Linked DNA regions of Arabidopsis thaliana. The protein of the gene in region 2 interacts with the protein of the main gene of each other region in a pairwise test. Each region holds a gene or a part of one and is shown on either strand. Other genes may lie near its edges. The genes, in order: AT4G35910 and ROL5.

Region 1 (6,623 bases), on a different chromosome or scaffold from region 2:
GGTTTTGCATTTTCCTGGAAACGTATCTCTGTAATTCCTAGACTTGAGTAGTGTTCTTCTTCTTCTTCAAGCATTTTCCATTTTTTTTTTGGGTAATTTTGTTATAGTATATAGAAATCCGTGAAGAGAAAAAGTATATCGGTTGTCTTCTTCATTGCCATCATGTGAGCATTCCAATATTGTTTCCTCTCTCTCTCTCCATTTTTTTAATTTACTTAAAAGTTTTCTGTGATTTTCAATGTCTTTTTTCTTCCACTTGACTTGACTCTCGGCGGAGGAGTTTGTCGCCGGCGAATTGTTCAAATCGTCGGAGGTTGAAACTGTTCATATTTGTGCTACTTTTACTTTCTGGTCTTTGAATTTTACTCTTTCGCTTTCGTCAGCTTCAAGTCTTTCAAAGACAAATCATCTTTAGGGATTTTCTTAAAAAAAATTTGTTTGCTTTATTGGTGTTGAAGATCTTTGACGTAGAAAGCCTATAGACCTGGAGAATCTCTTTGATTGGTATCTTATGGACTCTCTTTTTCTCTTTGTTGCTTTTGTTGTCGCAGTCGAAGAAACTGCTCCCTCTTTTAGTCAATTCTCGCTTCACTCCCTCAATATAATGCGATTTCTCAACCGGAATATCTGAATCTCTCGGTGGTTACCTCTGATATATCGCCAGGAACTGAACTCCTACTCGATCTCTATCAACAATGCCGTCCTTGTAGAACTTTGGATCCAACTCTCTGATTCCGTCAATTTCCATTAATATCAGCTCAGCGAAGGTAAAATTTCCAACAATCTCGATAATTCCATGTTTTTGGATCTTCAAGTTATGTTTCCTGTGCATAATGATGATTCGGTTTCTATCGACCAGGAACTTTGAGTAGAAGAAGATAATGTCACATTCATGGGATGGTCTTGGGGAGATTGCGTCAGTGGCTCAGCTGACTGGTTTAGATGCGGTCAAGTTGATTGGTCTCATAGTCAAAGCTGCGAATACTGCTTGGATGCATAAGAAGAATTGTCGTCAATTCGCTCAACATCTCAAACTCATTGGGAATTTGCTTGAACAGCTGAAGATCTCTGAGATGAAGAAGTATCCTGAGACTCGAGAGCCTCTCGAAGGGCTTGAGGATGCTTTGAGAAGGTCTTACCTTCTGGTCAATAGCTGTAGAGACCGGAGCTATCTTTACTTGTTGGCTATGGGTTGGAACATTGTTTACCAGTTCAGGAAACATCAGGATGAGATTGATCGTTTTCTTAAGATCATACCTCTCATCACTTTGGTCGATAACGCTCGCATTCGGGTAATTTTACCTGCATTTTGGTCTAACAAGTTTCTCTGCTTGATGTTATGGTATATTGAAATTTTGATTGTTATACAGGAGAGGTTTGAGTATATTGACCGTGATCAGCGTGAGTACACTCTGGATGAAGAGGATAGACATGTGCAAGATGTTATTTTGAAACAAGAATCCACCAGAGAAGCAGCATCAGTACTGAAGAAGACTCTCTCTTGCTCATACCCTAACTTGCGTTTCTGTGAAGCTCTCAAAACAGAAAACGAGAAACTGCAGATCGAACTTCAGCGGTCGCAGGAGCATTATGATGTGGCTCAGTGTGAAGTCATTCAGCGTTTAATTGGTGTTACACAAGCTGCTGCTGCTGTTGAACCTGACTCTGAGAAGGAGCTGACAAAGAAAGCTTCCAAAAAATCTGAACGTAGCTCAAGCATGAAGACGGAATATTCGTATGACGAAGATTCTCCCAAGAAAAGCAGTACTCGTGCAGCTTCGAGGTTAGAATCTCATGTTTGTTCTAAAGATCCAAATTTCCTTACAAGTTTAAGAAAGTATAATCTTCAATTCTTTGCTGTGACTGTAATGCTTTTAGGTCTGTTTTCATGTTTGAAGGCTAAGATTTGGTACAATGTTCTATAACATCGGTTACACAATTGTTCCATGCAGATCCACTTCTAATGTTTCATCTGGGCATGATCTGCTTTCACGAAGAGCATCACAGGCACAACACCATGAAGAATGGCATACCGACTTACTAGCTTGTTGCTCGGAACCTTCTCTTTGTAAGACCACACTATTTGTTTACAATGTGGCTCCACTTTGTTTTCTCTGTTACATAGATGATTAGCGTTTCACATTCTATACTTCCTTGTTATCTGCAAAGTTCTCAAAGATTCAATGATGGAACCGCAGGCTTCAAGACATTCTTTTTCCCGTGTGGTACTTTGGCAAAGATTGCCACTGCAGCATCCAACAGGCACATCTGTAAGGGATATTATTGAATACCGTGACTTTATTAATTTTCAATCTTTTAGTAATACATGTGAAAGCTAATAAGTCAACTGGATTTTTTTTAATTTTCGCTCTCCCAGCTTCAGCTGAAGCATGTAATGAGCTAATGGCGTATTCTTTGATACTTTCTTGTTGCTGCTATACTTGTTGCGTGAGGAGGAAACTCCGGAAGACACTGAACATCACGGTATTACATTCTCATTCTCTTCCACTCGCTTGAATCCTTACCATTAATCCCATTTGATCCCAAAAATCTATATGCTTCCGAGAAAATTTCTATCATTTGCATACCATAAACAACAAATGAAATTTCGGTTAAAGATTAAGTAGACACCTGCAAAAAAATTCAGTAGTAACTATCATGGTTGAGATTGAAATGGCTATGTTTATGCCACTCAATGTAGAGTCGGAATGAATGCTTAATGTTTTCTGATTTCGCAGGGAGGATTCATTGACGATTTTCTATCTCATGTAATGTGTTGTTGCTGTGCCCTTGTACAAGAACTGAGAGAAGTTGAGATTCGTGGGGCATATGGTATGATTTACATACAAACATATTATCAATATTTGTTTCAATCTTGAAGCACTAACAAAGATCTGTCTCTCATATCTTTGCAGGTACGGAGAAGACGAAAATAAGCCCGCCTTCGTCGCAGTTCATGGAACATTGAAATCTTCTATTATACAAAAGGTGAACAAAAACAACGATTTGTTGTAACTCTGGATACGAGACGAGATTCTTCTTCGTACTACTCACTTAATATTATTGTGTTAAATCGTGGAGTCGTATGTAAATTAGTTTGGGATTCTCATCTTAATTTCAGCAATTTGTGTTGTGTGTATCACATATAGACTAACTAATTCTTATTTCAACCTTTTATCACAAGATAGGGTATTAGGTTTACCGGATGGCCAATTGAACCAAACTTGTGTTTTGGGTCAAAATAGTAGTTTTCTTTTATGAATCAAGGAGAACATATACAATTTGCTGGTGGGTGAATATTAATATTACAATAGCAAATTAAGGAAAATTCTTTGAAGAAGAAAAGAGATGAAGAAATGCATGTGAGGTATCATTACCATGACTAAAAAGCCTAAAACATTGACAAAATTGATATGACTGATGATGATTCTCTTCTATTGCTCCCAAATTGGACAAAACTTGTCGGTTCCTTTTAATGGATGGTTACATGTTTACGGTTTAGCATCTTTTAAATACTTATCAAACCATAATTTCTTTACTAATCGTCTCACCGGTATGGGTAGACTCGTAAATAACCACTTTCATCTTCTTCCCCAATTTTTCTTGCTTTCTCTAAACCCTAGTTTCAGACAAAGTAGTGACATTTTTCTAACAATTAAACCAATATCGCCGTAGTCAACCACCGCATAACGTTTTGGCGCCGCCTGAGGCTGACCTGGGGCTGCTAAAGATTTTATCGCGACGACTCTCTTTCTCTCTCAAACTGGTAACTAATCACTTATTTGCTTGTTTCGATTTTGAATGTGCACACATCGCTATCTATTCAATATATTCGCTTTATAGCAAGACTTAGCAATATACAGTGTAATAGGATTGATTATATACTGATTGAGTAAAAAAGACTAATGATTTCGTTTAGAGTAACAATCTCTTAATTATCTCGTTAATGGCGGAAAGTAGTTAAGTCTCGTGAATTAGATGTTGATAGCATTGTCTACTCCTTTGTGTTGTAATTCCTAATCTAAATTTTCCACAGTTTCAGCTGCTTGCGAATTGGAAATGGCTTGTAATTCCTCAGGCTGTGAGTCAGGTTGCTATGACCGTGAGAAAGATAATGGAAGTAAGATAGTGGATGATGCAGTATCTGGTGGCGGTAATCATGAGAGTGTCTGCGTCAAGTGTAAATGCAATGCGCCTATGACATTTGGTGACGGTGGCTTCGACGATGGAAGATTCTGCGCAGATTGTTTTAGGAACAATGTCTTTGGGAAATTCCGTCTTGCTGTTACTTCTCATGCTATGATCACTCCTTCAGATAACGTCCTTGTTGCTTTCTCTGGCGGATCATCTTCCAGGTTTTGCTCTCTTTTTTTCCTTTAGTTTCTGTTTTTTGATATGTTATTGATTGGTGTCTAAACGTAGCAAGTATGATGTTAGGGTTTCTCTTCAATTTGTGCACGAGTTGCAAATCAAGGCTTTGAAGAATTACGAGGCGAGTCGAGATAGATCTTTACCTGTGTTTGGTGTTGGTGTTGCTTTTGTGGATGAAACTGCAGCTTTTCCTGCTCTTTCCACTGAAATGATTGATGCAATTGAGTGGGTTCGATATACTGTCTCGTGTTTGTCTCCACCTGCTAAGGATCTCCATGTTGTTCCAGTCGAAAGCATATTTGGTTCAGACTCTCTTGACGCACGGGATAGACTTCTGAAGCTATTAGATTCTGTTCCTGACGATACTGGAAAAGAAGACCTTCTGCTGCATCTGAAAATGTTATCTTTGCAAAAGGTTTGGACATTATATTGCTTTTGTTTCTGTCTGGGAAAGAAATTCAGATTTGGAAATATCTTTTGTTTAATGTTGTTTGATAAACCTTTTTAGGTTGCCGCTGAAAATGGGTACAATAGATTAGTGTTGGGATCATGCACGTCGAGAATTGCTTCCCATGTTCTTACGGCTACTGTCAAGGTGTGTTGCTTAGTGCCCTGACTTGACTCGTGTTTCCTCTGGCTTAGTTATTCTATAGATTGCATCTTAGAGTGAGAACTTCATGCCAGAAAGCAATCAATGGCTACCTTAAAGAATGTAGATATTTTGGACTTAACCAATTACATCTCTAAAAATTGAAGTTTTGGTGTAAAGATTTTATTTCAGTACACAATGTTTTGTGTACTTTATTTGGACATTCCCTTTAGACTATGTTCTATCAGAATTGTGAGTTGAATTGCTTTTTCTTGAAACAGGGACGAGGTTATTCACTATCAGCAGATATTCAGCATGTTGATGCTAGATGGAAGGTTCCCATTGTACTTCCACTTCGAGATTGTGTTCGACTGGAAATAACTAGACTCTGCCTTTTGGATGGGTTCGTTTATTGGCTGCCTAGTCTACATTGTATTGTTATAGTGAACCTTATTCTTGCATAATCCAACTATTGAGTGACGTCACATATTCTGGGCAGGGCAGACTTAAGACTGTGGAGTTGGCTTGTCGTTCTCAATGCGGAATCAATGATTTGGTGTCTTCATTTGTCGCTCTGTTGCAGGTTCAGATAATGTTCATCTTCTGCATATGTTTAAGTGCATGCATGGTTACCTGTTACTTTGTTTTTACTGATTCATTTGTCTCTGGGTTCTGTTGTGCAGGAAGAAAATCCTTCCCGGGAATGCACAATTGTACGGACAGCTGCGAAGCTGACTCCATTTTACTTCAATAAAATTCCGGAAACAGACGACTCTAATGTACCTATGGCCACTCAGAGGCGCCTAAAGAGATTCAATCTCAAATATGATGGATCAATGACTACTGAAGCTTTCTGTCCTATCTGCAATGGCCCGCTAAATAGATCAGACTCATCAGAGTTGGATACTTTTGAAGAAGGCCAGGAATCTGATGTCCTCTATGCTGCTTGCTGTTCAAGTTGCCGGTTTCAAATACTTCCACAGGATGGATCATCTCTTGAGCAATTCAGTTCATTTCTACCAGATCACATGATTTCCCAAGTGAAACATCAAAAAGTTGATAGTCAAGCTTATCTGAGGTGAGTAGTATGCATTAACTCTGATCTCAAACTTGGATTCCTTTTCCATTCGTTTTACCTACATTATTGGTAGTTCATGTCTCTAGGAAGCATCAGATTTAAAACAACCAAGATCAAGACTGAGTGAAACACTATTTGAGATTCCTAACATTGGTTTCCATTTATTTCAGGGAGAAAATTAAAGACTGTCTGCTCTTGGACGATGAAGAGGTTGTCTAAATCTGCATTCGGATGCTTGCACAAGGTATGAGAGGAAGTTTAAATCCTGTCATGCTTATCAAGGATTATTCCTAGAAACCTAAGATCATCTTAGTTTAATGTCGATCTGATATCATCGTAGATGTTAAAAGTGTTTTTACTCATTCGTTACAATGATTGTCTCAATGTGAAGCAAAATCACTGAGCAATTGAATGAAGCATCTACAGTTTTACACATATAATACAAGAATCATGGGAAGTTTACAATTTGTAACACAAGTAGTAAACTTGTTAGGGGTGATGCGAGAATCAAGTTTTGTAATATTTCTATGCGCAGAATCAGAGATTCAGGAGCATTAATCTAGAGTGCAAGTGATCAACATCTTC
Region 2 (6,623 bases):
GATAAATCTAATCATCCGATCAAACCCTTTCCTCAAAATCTTGAAGCTTCTGTTACTCGGCCTGAATGCTATAACCTCAAGGTTGGCTCTAGCCGAAGATGGGGAACTTACATTTTCTATGGTGGACCTGGACGTAACCCTCAATGCCTATGAAAAGTGACATGATTTTTCGAAATTTATTTAGAAAATGTTTGGGACAACCCTTGTGATTGAACTGAATAGCGTTCTAAAGATGTAAACTTTTTAAGACTAATAAATGGTTTTGCATTTGAGATAAAACAAAAAAGATCATATCAATATTTTAATAAGCAACACATTTTTCTTGTTAGGTCATAAAACGTAACAAGTCGGTGTCACTAATTTACTTATCAAGTGATACCTTGCACGATTTGTAACTTGCAGAAAAAAAGAAGATAGAAGGATATGATAAAATTTTATGCATATGTAGAAAAAAACCTTGCACGACACCTTCCGTTAGATCGATCAGCTTTGACTTATACGTTTAAATTTGCGTTTTTGTCATTCACAGAGAAGAATATGCTTTACACTTATCCTCTCTTTCTTATTTCTATATTCTTGATGAGTAAAGTAATTGACACCAAGATACTGCATTTCTATATAACCCATGACTACAAGTTTCCTCTGTTTTAACAAAAAACGAAAAAAACAAACAAGTTTCCTCTGTTTAAATATCAATCTTCCTGTTTATGTTCCGCTATCCCAAAAATGGGAAACTGCCTTTCAACCTCTGATCCATCTCATGAAGATGTATCAAAGAAGCTTCCCAAAGCACTTCCCGTCGATGCTGCATTCAAGTTTCCTTCACCGTTACCTACTTTTACTCGAGGTTTGTATTATCATCGGTTCTTACTGATCTCTCTCTCTCTCTCTGTCTCCCAATTAGTTTTGATAATCTTGATTTCACTTGCATCATCAGGTGATGGTTTTGCGAAAGGAACCATTGACTTAGGAGGTGGTCTCGAAGTTAGTCAAGTTTCGACATTCAACAAAGTTTGGTCCACTTATGAAGGAGGACCAGACAATCTCGGAGCTACATTCTTTGAACCATCCTCAATCCCTTCCGGTTTCTCCATCCTTGGCTACTACGCTCAACCAAACAACCGTAATCTTTTCGGTTGGGTACTCACAGCTAGAGATCTCTCAAGCAACACCTTAAAACCACCAGTAGATTACACCCTCGTAGGAAACACCGAGTCACTCAAAATTAAACAAGACGGAACCGGATACTTCTGGCAACCCGTTCCTCCTGATGGATATCAAGCCGTTGGCCTAATAGTCACAAACTACTCACAAAAACCACCTCTAGACAAACTACGCTGCATCCGATCAGATTTAACCGAACAATGTGAAGCTGATACATGGATATGGGGCACAAACGGAGTCAACATCTCAAATCTAAAACCAACCACAAGAGGAACACAAGCTACAGGAGTCTATGTAGGTACATTTACATGGCAAACCCAAAACTCCTCGCCTCCATCATTATCTTGCTTAAAGAACACGAAACTCGACTTCTCTACAATGCCAAATGGGTCCCAAATCGAAGAATTGTTCCAAACTTTTTCTCCATGTATCTATTTCCATCCAGACGAAGAATATCTACCTTCCTCTGTCACTTGGTACTTCAACAACGGAGCATTACTATACAAGAAAGGCGAAGAATCGAAACCAATCCCTATCGAATCAAACGGTTCTAATCTTCCACAAGGAGGATCAAACGATGGATCATACTGGCTAGATCTTCCTATAGACAAAAATGGTAAAGAGAGAGTCAAAAAAGGAGACTTACAAAGCACAAAAGTGTACCTTCATATCAAACCAATGCTCGGAGCAACATTCACAGATATATCAATCTGGATATTTTACCCTTTCAATGGACCAGCAAAAGCCAAGGTCAAATTCGTAAATCTACCGTTGGGTAGAATCGGAGAACACATTGGAGATTGGGAACACACGACGCTACGGATCAGTAATTTCACCGGAGAGCTTTGGAGAGTGTTCTTATCGCAGCATAGTGGTGGAATTTGGATCGATGCTTGCGATTTGGAGTTCCAAGACGGAGGAAATAACAAGTTTGTGGCGTACGCATCGCTACATGGACACGCGATGTATCCGAAACCTGGGTTGGTGTTGCAAGGAGACGATGGGGTTGGGATTAGGAATGATACGGGGAAAGGTAAGAAGGTGCTTGATACGGGGTTAGGGTATGAGGTGATTGCGGCGGAGTATGACGGCGGAGGAGTGGTGGAGCCGCCGTGGGTTAAGTATTTCAGGAAGTGGGGGCCGAAGATTGATTATAATGTTGATGATGAAGTTAAGAGTGTGGAGAGGATATTGCCTGGGCTTTTGAAAAAGGCTTTTGTTAAATTTGTGAAGAAGATTCCTGATGAAGTTTATGGTGAAGATGGGCCTACTGGGCCTAAACTCAAGAGTAATTGGGCTGGTGATGAAAGTTGATGAAATGTTGGTTTTTCTTTTAGATTGTTTGTTTGGTTTGATTCTTTGTATATAAAATTCTTCATAGACCTTAATGTAAAACTATTATGTTTTATATGTAAATAAATAAACATTGTGTGGCTAAGTACAAAAATTTTTATTGGAAACTTATGAACAGATTTGTTTCATAAATTCATAATTAAACCCTTCAGATACAATCATAAGCCAAAAAAGAAAACCAAAAGTACAATTAAGTTCTACAAGAAGTTTATGAAAGGAAAAAAAAAATCTTTTCTTTTTCTATATAATCAAATCATTCACTATGACTCATACGATTTTGTAGCTTTTTTCTCAAAATTTTAGAAATCCAGAGATCCACATTGTTTGCTCTCTATAGATTTTGCTACAGATCCAGGCTTCTTTGTTTCCTTATTATGATCACCATTTACGCCTCGAGGTCTTCCAATACCCATCTTAGGCAAACCACGGTTCAGTCCTTCCAGCAAAACACAAGCTTTACACCATTTCTGCATATCATTTGTAATCCAAACAATCAAACACTATATACTAACTCTAATTATGGAAAACAATTTACTTGATGTGATAAAAGAGAGGTCTCACCTGGCTAGAAATATACCCGCATCGCTCACACGTCCCTTGCTCAGGCATCTTTGTGGTTGTTGCAATTCTAAAATCTTCACCAGACTTTATGATGTCCAGAATCGCCCTTGGCCTGCACTTTGTGTAAGTTAGAGATCTCTAGTTTTCTTATTTCATTCTAGCGGATACTAAACAAAAGGGTTGAGAAAGAACCTTATTCTTTCCAAATCTTTGATGAACTCACGGGCAAACCCACGATATGCATTAGGAGAGTAAATGCCTGCAAACTCAAAAAAAAAAAATAAGCCATAAAAATAACTAGAGATTGGCTGAAACTATAACTTAGGAACAGATAAAACCTACAAAAAATCGATGATTGTACACTTACATTCAGTGGAGAAGTAATCCAGCTTCTTGAAATAAGCATACGTAAAGCTACGTTAAGGTATCACAATATCTTTTGTTGACAAGTATAAGCGATATATACAAAAGCATTATGTAGTGAAGGATATATGACAATCTCCTTTTCGTATGTATACTTGAAAGGTTTACATCTTGGAATGGGACCATCTTCACCAGTAGTAATCGATGTGCACCTACTTAATCTACAGTTACCAATGTTACAAATATCAATTAGTTGAGGAACGAGACAGATTTTTCATTTTCCATCAAATCATCAACAAATACTTACCTAGCAATATCCCCTCGCAATATGTTCAAGAGAACGGTTTCTGCTATATCATCTGCATTATGTCCAGTGACTAGCTTCTCTACTTTCAATAACGCAGCTCCTCGGTCAAGTGCCTTGAGATGAATTAAACACAAGAGTGTTGGTGGTATGCAGAGTTATTGACAAACTGAAAGTTGAACAACAAAAAGAAAACGGCACTGCTCCCTACCTGTCGACGGAATACACCACAAAAGGTGCAATTGTTCTTCAAACCAATCATTTTCACAATCTCATCCATTGTCCATCCATACAGATCTTTATATGAAACAATCTTAAGAGGCAAACCATACTGGAAGAGAAAAATAAAGAACCCATCAAACTAAAAACCGCCATAAAACAATCACTTAACACACATAGAATTCAAAAAGAAGCTTACTTGGACTTCGTTCCGTTTAACAGTCTCAAGAGAATCATCACGATAACCCGTAATCCCTTCATCTATGGACAAGAGAAAGAGGTCTAGCCCATAATTGTGGCGTCTGTTTAGTTCTGATAACACATATGCCAGAACAGTAGAATCTGCACAAAACAATCTTAAAAAGTTACAGTATGTTAAAGAAAAAGATCAATCAGAATCTAAGCAATCACCTTTTCCACCAGAGGCACCTATAGCAACACGTTCACCAGATTTGAATAAACGATTCTGAACAATGACTTGATGAATCTCCTCCTCAAAAACCTCATAAAAGCACTCTCTGCATATCTTTAAAACACACATACTCAATCACTTCTCATACATAACACAAAAATAAGAGACTCTGGAAACTAGCAATAGACTGAAAAACTAATGATTGTCGTTACTTTCACTATTGATCCAACTCCGACGAACTACATTGATTATTTTGATTTGATTCCACATAGAGATCATAATCCAAACCAATGCAATTCATAAAGAGTCAAACCTAACACTAACAGTATAGAAATGTGTTCCAAGCTTCTGCTTAATATGTTAGCTAAAACCCAACGAGATTCTACGAGAAAAGAGAAATAAAAAAAATTGAAAAGTTACCTGTTGAAGGGTTTTAGGTCTTTTGAGGACGGGACGTCTCAGGTTGCATAAGCAGCAGAGACGGGAGGCTACTGCTTTCTTGTTCTTGGCCTCCATTTTTCACCGGAGCTCATGCGGAGAAGATTTCCGGGATTACTAGTCGGAGGTGGAAAACGACCTAAACCTAAGTGTCGGCGTGAAACGGCATCGTCTTGTGTGTGGGCCATAAATGGGCTTTGACGGAACTCGCACTTTAGATTTAAACGGCATCGTTTAAGCGGAGGTATATTCAGAGTGACTCAGTGTTGCAGAGTTTGACTTTGTCCCATCGATTAAGCTAAAGAGTAAAGACAGTGACGCAGTTATTTTGTATTAAAGTCTCTACTTTGTAAATTTACTGCCAAAAACTTGCCTTCCATAGTTCCATGTCCATCGCAAAAGTTTCAGCGGTGGTAGTTATTCCAACAAGAATCTGAACAAAATGTTTGGACTTGAGATCTTTAGATAGATGTTTTGATGTTTACTCAGCTGTGTTTTATTTGCAAGGATGAAAGAATCAGCCGAGACAAACAATTCTTGGTGATCCAGGCTCATTTTATTCCTTGTCCTCTGTTTTTTTTGTGTCCTATGTCTTTACTTGCTCTGTTTATCTGATTGCTCTGTTCGAGTGTTCTGTTTTCTTTTCATTGCTAGCTCTGTTTTCTGTGCTCTGCTATCTTTTTGCTCTGTTTCTCTAGGTGCTCCGTTTTTCACCGGCTCTGTTTCTCTACTTGTTATGTGCTACTCTGCTTGACCCTTAAAAATGGATCAGATGTTTCTCTCTGACCCTGAGAGCATCATCATTGCTAGATCTAGTCGGCGAAAAAAAAAACTGAAACCTTTCCTCCATTTATCAACCAGTATAAGCTGGAAGATCACAAAACAGGTTTGCATGAGTAACTGCTTAAAAAGACATAATTCTGATTGTTCTCCATTATATTTTCCTATGTTTATGTGAATAACCAAATGAAAGAACTTAACATTACACCACACCAAAAAATAAAAGATAAACATTGATCAATTGCTTTGTGAATCAAAAAATTTCCTTTCTCAGACTCTGTAGAATAGAGAAACTATTTAATGGATTGGATTAAGTTTTGATTCTCACGTGGATATGTTCATCGATCATCTATGTTCTAAATTTCTAATGAAAACAAAAACAAAGGGTAAGAATCAGAAATATTCATGATTCTTTCTGCAAGGATATCACAAAGAGTCAATCTTTATTCATCTTCAGAGTCTCAGACAAGGAAGATTCAATGAAGGAAGCGATTAAAGAGTAGACAACATAAAATAAAAATCAACTTGCATTAATTTTTAATGACTTTCAGTAATTCTTGTACAAATGTTTTGCCTGTCGCAGTGTGATATAAACCTATTCTTATGAACAAAAAATTAGCAGACTGAAACATTTACTGTCAAACAGTAACCAAGTTTTGAGCTATATGTGTTTACCAGATCATAAGCATTGTGTTTCTTCTTTCTGTTCATTCTAGTAGTAGCGGTTGACACAGAGGCTTTAGAATCGTGCTATCGAGTTCCATAAAATATGTTACAACAACTCCAACAAGCGAGCATACAGCTGGAACAAGTCCTAACCCATATCTTGTCACCGAGAAGTAAAAATATTCTTTGATGTTTACGTCAACCTTTGGTGAAGTGCCTGCACCATTTTCCAAATTAGACTTCCATCAATTTTAAGATAATATTAGAAAGAAAGACAAAAACTTACCTTGATGTGACTGAAGAACATATAAAGCAAGCCCACATGACATTTTGTCTAAGAAGCTTAATGACCCACAAACGAAA

What was found.
Region 1: the proteins of ROL5 (region 2) and AT4G35910 interact in a two-hybrid assay, tested with the Arabidopsis thaliana proteins (one study listed by BioGRID).

What each region holds. Positions count from the first base shown.
Region 1 is NC_003075.7:17,008,451-17,015,073, reverse strand, and holds the start of AT4G35910 (Adenine nucleotide alpha hydrolases-like superfamily protein), read left to right. Parts: upstream 1-3,431; 5' UTR 3,432-3,766; intron 3,767-4,036; 5' UTR 4,037-4,059; coding exon 4,060-4,355; intron 4,356-4,437; coding exon 4,438-4,786; intron 4,787-4,879; coding exon 4,880-4,966; intron 4,967-5,241; coding exon 5,242-5,363; intron 5,364-5,464; coding exon 5,465-5,543; intron 5,544-5,643; coding exon 5,644-6,038; intron 6,039-6,208; coding exon 6,209-6,257; 3' UTR 6,258-6,623. Other genes in the region: MCA1 (PLAC8 family protein), read left to right, coding at 882-1,292, 1,371-1,783, 1,953-2,068, 2,199-2,270, 2,378-2,484, 2,739-2,832, 2,916-2,968. UniProt on the Arabidopsis thaliana protein: Plays a central role in 2-thiolation of mcm(5)S(2)U at tRNA wobble positions of tRNA(Lys), tRNA(Glu) and tRNA(Gln). May act by forming a heterodimer with NCS6/CTU1 that ligates sulfur from thiocarboxylated URM1 onto the uridine of tRNAs at wobble position.
Region 2 is NC_003071.7:18,295,262-18,301,884, forward strand, and holds ROL5 (repressor of lrx1), read right to left. Parts: upstream 5,044-6,623; 5' UTR 4,893-5,043; coding exon 4,797-4,892; intron 4,491-4,796; coding exon 4,376-4,490; intron 4,307-4,375; coding exon 4,164-4,306; intron 4,077-4,163; coding exon 3,957-4,076; intron 3,862-3,956; coding exon 3,749-3,861; intron 3,663-3,748; coding exon 3,570-3,662; intron 3,487-3,569; coding exon 3,446-3,486; intron 3,338-3,445; coding exon 3,271-3,337; intron 3,191-3,270; coding exon 3,079-3,190; intron 2,985-3,078; coding exon 2,817-2,984; 3' UTR 2,617-2,816; downstream 1-2,616. Other genes in the region: AT2G44250 (tRNA-splicing ligase, putative (DUF239)), read left to right, coding at 1-153; AT2G44260 (DUF946 family protein (DUF946)), read left to right, coding at 727-2,478; AT2G44280 (Major facilitator superfamily protein), read right to left, coding at 6,302-6,477, 6,547-6,623. UniProt on the Arabidopsis thaliana protein: Plays a central role in 2-thiolation of mcm(5)S(2)U at tRNA wobble positions of tRNA(Lys), tRNA(Glu) and tRNA(Gln). Directly binds tRNAs and probably acts by catalyzing adenylation of tRNAs, an intermediate required for 2-thiolation.